2 linked regions of the Saccharomyces cerevisiae S288C genome follow. The protein of the gene in region 1 interacts with the protein of each later gene in a pairwise test. Each region holds a gene or a part of one and is shown in the gene's direction. Other genes may lie near its edges.

The links.
Region 2: the proteins of CTR2 (region 1) and RBD2 interact in a protein complementation assay, tested with the Saccharomyces cerevisiae proteins (2 studies listed by BioGRID).

What each region holds. Positions count from the first base shown.
Region 1 is NC_001140.6:451,058-454,276, forward strand, and holds CTR2 (low-affinity Cu transporter), read left to right. Parts: upstream 1-1,814; coding exon 1,815-2,384; downstream 2,385-3,219. Other genes in the region: YHR173C (uncharacterized protein), read right to left, coding at 1-96; phosphopyruvate hydratase ENO2, read left to right, coding at 270-1,583; YHR175W-A (uncharacterized protein), read left to right, coding at 2,501-2,650; FMO1 (N,N-dimethylaniline monooxygenase), read left to right, coding at 3,172-3,219. UniProt on the Saccharomyces cerevisiae protein: Provides bioavailable copper via mobilization of vacuolar copper stores and export to the cytoplasm.
Region 2 is NC_001148.4:84,009-87,422, reverse strand, and holds RBD2 (putative rhomboid protease RBD2), read left to right. Parts: upstream 1-2,125; coding exon 2,126-2,914; downstream 2,915-3,414. Other genes in the region: UDP-galactose transporter HUT1, read left to right, coding at 1-409; YPL245W (uncharacterized protein), read right to left, coding at 473-1,837; YPL247C (uncharacterized protein), read left to right, coding at 3,227-3,414. UniProt on the Saccharomyces cerevisiae protein: Probable rhomboid-type serine protease that catalyzes intramembrane proteolysis.

The sequences.
Region 1 (3,219 bases):
TTCTGGCTTTGATCTTACTATCATTTGGATTTTTGTCGAAGGTTGTAGAATTGTATGTGACAAGTGGCACCAAGCATATATAAAAAAAAAAAGCATTATCTTCCTACCAGAGTTGATTGTTAAAAACGTATTTATAGCAAACGCAATTGTAATTAATTCTTATTTTGTATCTTTTCTTCCCTTGTCTCAATCTTTTATTTTTATTTTATTTTTCTTTTCTTAGTTTCTTTCATAACACCAAGCAACTAATACTATAACATACAATAATAATGGCTGTCTCTAAAGTTTACGCTAGATCCGTCTACGACTCCCGTGGTAACCCAACCGTCGAAGTCGAATTAACCACCGAAAAGGGTGTTTTCAGATCCATTGTTCCATCTGGTGCCTCCACCGGTGTCCACGAAGCTTTGGAAATGAGAGATGAAGACAAATCCAAGTGGATGGGTAAGGGTGTTATGAACGCTGTCAACAACGTCAACAACGTCATTGCTGCTGCTTTCGTCAAGGCCAACCTAGATGTTAAGGACCAAAAGGCCGTCGATGACTTCTTGTTGTCTTTGGATGGTACCGCCAACAAGTCCAAGTTGGGTGCTAACGCTATCTTGGGTGTCTCCATGGCCGCTGCTAGAGCCGCTGCTGCTGAAAAGAACGTCCCATTGTACCAACATTTGGCTGACTTGTCTAAGTCCAAGACCTCTCCATACGTTTTGCCAGTTCCATTCTTGAACGTTTTGAACGGTGGTTCCCACGCTGGTGGTGCTTTGGCTTTGCAAGAATTCATGATTGCTCCAACTGGTGCTAAGACCTTCGCTGAAGCCATGAGAATTGGTTCCGAAGTTTACCACAACTTGAAGTCTTTGACCAAGAAGAGATACGGTGCTTCTGCCGGTAACGTCGGTGACGAAGGTGGTGTTGCTCCAAACATTCAAACCGCTGAAGAAGCTTTGGACTTGATTGTTGACGCTATCAAGGCTGCTGGTCACGACGGTAAGGTCAAGATCGGTTTGGACTGTGCTTCCTCTGAATTCTTCAAGGACGGTAAGTACGACTTGGACTTCAAGAACCCAGAATCTGACAAATCCAAGTGGTTGACTGGTGTCGAATTAGCTGACATGTACCACTCCTTGATGAAGAGATACCCAATTGTCTCCATCGAAGATCCATTTGCTGAAGATGACTGGGAAGCTTGGTCTCACTTCTTCAAGACCGCTGGTATCCAAATTGTTGCTGATGACTTGACTGTCACCAACCCAGCTAGAATTGCTACCGCCATCGAAAAGAAGGCTGCTGACGCTTTGTTGTTGAAGGTTAACCAAATCGGTACCTTGTCTGAATCCATCAAGGCTGCTCAAGACTCTTTCGCTGCCAACTGGGGTGTTATGGTTTCCCACAGATCTGGTGAAACTGAAGACACTTTCATTGCTGACTTGGTTGTCGGTTTGAGAACTGGTCAAATCAAGACTGGTGCTCCAGCTAGATCCGAAAGATTGGCTAAGTTGAACCAATTGTTGAGAATCGAAGAAGAATTGGGTGACAAGGCTGTCTACGCCGGTGAAAACTTCCACCACGGTGACAAGTTGTAAAGTGCTTTTAACTAAGAATTATTAGTCTTTTCTGCTTATTTTTTCATCATAGTTTAGAACACTTTATATTAACGAATAGTTTATGAATCTATTTAGGTTTAAAAATTGATACAGTTTTATAAGTTACTTTTTCAAAGACTCGTGCTGTCTATTGCATAATGCACTGGAAGGGGAAAAAAAAGGTGCACACGCGTGGCTTTTTCTTGAATTTGCAGTTTGAAAAATAACTACATGGATGATAAGAAAACATGGAGTACAGTCACTTTGAGAACCTTCAATCAGCTGGTAACGTCTTCGTTAATTGGATACTCAAAAAAGATGGATAGCATGAATCACAAGATGGAAGGAAATGCGGGCCACGACCACAGTGATATGCATATGGGAGATGGAGATGATACCTGTTCGATGAATATGCTATTTTCGTGGTCATACAAGAATACGTGTGTCGTCTTTGAATGGTGGCATATCAAGACCCTGCCTGGACTGATTTTAAGTTGTTTAGCAATTTTTGGTCTAGCCTACCTCTATGAGTACTTAAAGTACTGTGTCCATAAGAGACAATTATCCCAGAGAGTATTGTTACCAAATAGATCTCTGACCAAGATCAACCAAGCCGACAAAGTGTCCAATAGTATTCTATATGGTTTGCAAGTGGGATTCTCATTCATGCTCATGCTTGTATTCATGACTTATAATGGTTGGTTAATGTTAGCTGTCGTGTGTGGGGCAATATGGGGTAATTACAGCTGGTGTACTTCGTATAGTCCTGAGATAGATGACAGCTCCCTCGCCTGCCATTAAGATGGTGACAAATATTACAAATTTGATACTATTTGTATCTATTTTGTTTTTATCCGGGATTTTTCGTATTTCTTCCTCATTCATACCCTTCCCTTTATTTGTTCCCACTGAGTATAATGATAAACTACGTTAACATTACATGTATAATATTTAGCACTCGTACGTTACTAGTCTTTGACACAAGTTTATATATCCCCCCCTTTATGTTATCGTTTATTGGCTACAGCCTCAGTAATCAAAATAGTCCACTATTTCTATATCATTAACTTCTGCGTCGCCAAGATGTTAATCATGAAACGATCTAGTTCTTCAACAGTTTGCCAGCGACCATTCGAGCTAATCTTGAACAAAAGTAATACTATTTAAGGGTGGGCGCGGGTTGTTATACCGTTTTGAGACGATCTACTATAACGTTATATTTAATTATATAAGTGATGAATTTAATGTCCCGTCCACAACACGAAATCGCACCTCATTTCAACGCGGCAAGTATTAATGTTCTGCTTTATGAAAGATTCCATGAACCCTTTTCTACCTTTTAAATTCCTCTTTTCACTCTTAATCACATGATATTACCTTTACATAGGAAGCGCCAGACATCTTTTTGCCGAGAAAAGCCATTATGCAAGATAATCCTGTAGCCTCATATCAAGGATAAATGCCACTGCAAAAACGCAGTCGTTATTTGGGACTGTATTTAAATGGGCCACTGTTTTTATACAAGTCGAAAATACAATAATACAGAAAATTCAAGCAGGAAGCGAGAAATAACAAGAAGTAACTAGGCATGACAGTGAATGACAAAAAAAGATTGGCAATCATAGGTGGGGGGCCA
Region 2 (3,414 bases), on another chromosome or scaffold:
AAAGGGAAAACAAACTTTGATAACAGGTGCACACTTGATGTTTACACTGAACCTCTTCGTGATATTGTGGAATATTTTGTATTTTATTGTGATCGACTGCAAACAATGGGATAATGCCGTTTCTGTATTGACGATGGACCCACAAGTGTGGGGCTATTTAATGCTTTATTCGTTCTGTGGCGCTATGGGACAATGCTTTATTTTCTATACTCTAGAACAATTTGGCTCTTTAGTTTTGATCATGATAACAGTCACCAGGAAAATGGTCTCGATGATTTTGAGTATTATTGTCTTCGGTAAGAGTGTACGTTTCCAGCAATGGGTGGGGATGTTTATAGTATTTGGTGGAATCACTTGGGAAGCACTCAACAAGAAGAAGGCTAATATACCGAAGGCAAAATCTGCGTAGATTAGTGAAGATCGCAACAAATAAAAGTTAATATTTATAAAATTTGTCTATACTATGTACTTCCTATTTTTTTGATGGACGAAGCAGTCTCTCTCTTAATTCAGGATCGTATGCATAAACATACAGACCACGCACGCCACGAGTTAAGAGGACATTAATGCTATTCATAATAATCTTTTGCTTAACGTCCTCTGCATTGTGAATGTTTTTCTTTTTGGTGAAACCGGCCCTATCGTCATACAGCTCTGGTCTTAGTTTGATGCAGTCATTAGCCGCATCATACCCAATGGAACGGCCCAAAATTACACCAGCATAATTCAGATCAAACCCTTGGATAGTATACACACTACCTACCTCATCAATCGTGTCGCAACGCTCACTCCAAGGCGTCACTTCACGTGGAGTATAGCGATCCCAGCGAACTTTGAAATTGTCACCACATTCAACGTAATAGTCTTTTCCGTCCAAGCGATAGGGAAAATCGTAAGTAGATAGCATCCTACATTGGCCGTATTGACGGTCTTTCTCCTTGATTGCCTCGTACATGGCGCCACAATCATCCCAAATTTTGAAATCAAAATTCTTAATTTTATCGTCAGCACAATCTGCATTGCCCTTAGATAGCACAGATTCAATTGGTGGGATTTTACCTGCGACACTAATTTGGTCAATCCAGTTCAACACGTTTTGTGGGGCAGCAACCCTAAACTGCTGTTTTAAAGTGTACCAGTCTCTGGATTTTGGTGGAATCTCGTTGTAAAAGTCCTTTAAAGTGGCACCGTTATTAGAACCTTCATCCCAATAGGAACCCATTCTTAAAGCTTGCTTATCATCGTAAACCAATACAAGCACTTTACAAAGGGACATTAAGTCTTTGAGATGGTTTTCGCCATAAAATCTTTTGAAAGCATCCTTAGAAGTGGCCAACAAATGTGCTTCATCTACAATGACTACATCGGCCATGACTTTTCTCTTCTGTAGATTGTTGATCAACGAAGTGGGCCGTTCTAGTGACGATTTAGAAATATATTTGAAACTGTCACTAATCCGGATATATAACTTTAACATCTCGGGATGGTTGACTACCAGATAATTATGTGTCCCATGTAAGATATCTTCAGAAGAAGGTGAGAACTGGGATAGTTTCTGAATTTCATTGAACAAGGAGTTTAGAATCACAGACTTGCCTGTACCTGCGTCCCCTTGGATTACAAACATGGCCGGATGTTTCCAGTCAGACTTGTACTGAGATAAGTTGGAACGCATGAACGACAAAACGCGCTCTCTCAACTTTTCTTGTTCAGCAGAGAGTGTTACGTTAGACAACTTGTTCATAGCCTGCGTGGAGACCACGGGCCTAGGTGCTCTTCTTGGTCTCTTCACGCTTCTCACATTGCGGGAAATAGCTTTTGAAGTAGGCCCATGCATTTTATATGGTTCTAATGGAAGTTAAATGCTACTACCGGGTCGCCAAGAAAGATGCGATGCCATGCTGCATACATATGCATAGATTGTTTATATATGGCGATGGCTGCTTTTATGATTTCTCGAGAAAATTTTTCACTTTTTTCGGCCCTTTGAGATCTAAAGCCTCTTTTTTTTTTTTTTTTTGAACTGCATCGATACAAGAAGAATAGGGGGATGGGAAAGGCTTAATTGGAAGCACTGAGAACAGCAATTCACTCTGGTTGTTAGGTTGTGCTATTTGGTCGTGCTATGAATTGGAAGTCGTACGTTTTTCCCGGTGGTCATCCACCAGCTGCGTTGACCACAGGCCTTGTGGTATTTCTAACCGCTATTTACCTGTTAAGTTTTATTTTTGCCCTAAGGGAAGACCTGTCGTTGGCGCCAGAGTCATTGTTCAAACTGCAAATGAGCAGGCTATCGCTTTATCCTTTAATTCACCTATCATTGCCTCATTTACTGTTCAATGTGCTAGCCATCTGGGCACCCTTGAATCTCTTCGAAGAAACGCATGGGACTGTGTACACAGGTGTTTTTTTGAACCTGAGTGCTCTATTTGCCGGAATTCTGTACTGTTTGTTGGGTAAGTTGCTATATCCAGAAGCATTAGTTGCAGGCGCCAGTGGGTGGTGTTTCACCTTATTCGCATACTATAGTTTTAAAGAATCACAGATCCGCCCTAGAACAAGGATCTTTCGCACAGACTACTCAATTCCGACATTATATACACCCCTAGTACTATTAGTCGCAATTGCCGTCGTTATACCTGGCTCCAGTTTCTGGGGTCATTTTTTCGGCTTATGTGTCGGTTACGCCATAGGCTACAAGGAATCGTGGTTTAACAAGATCACTCCACCAGGATGGATCATCACCAAAATCGAAAAAAGTTTAGACGGTTTAATTCGATTAATACCTTGGGGAATTAAGTATTACAGAGATGAGGATATCGACAGAACTAAAGATTACGAACCGTTAATGTCCACAGAAACACCATTGCCTCTCCACAATGACAACTCCGGCACTGTCCTAGGGACTGCCTAGACATTTGTATCGCTATTCTTTCTTTCACAGTTTAAGGATGTATATAAATGTAGTATATATCATTTTATATTCTAATATGCAAGAATTTTCAGTCTCTTCTTTTTCCTTAGCGTGCGTTTATGAAAAAAAATGGAATATGAATAATTACTGGGAGGAAGACCAGGGGCAAGGGGTGAACCATCTTGTCATCTGAAATCTTGTATAAATAATTTAGTAATCAGTTCTTTAGGTTTTCGAGAGTGGCATACAACCTAAAGGGTCAACAGACAACAAGAAGGAAAGGAATTATAGGAGCAAATACACGCCCTTCAAATGGATCCCTTTCACAATGGCAATAAAAGGAGCTCAATATCGTTTGGCTCATCGCAGCGGCAGCCATATAACAAGAACAATTACTTGAGTGGTACTAATGGGCCTTCCTCGGCGGCACAAGATCAAGGTAGAGGCCCATCTCCCTTTGGAATGTCTGGCAACACTACCAATGGCGGTAACAGCAAAAG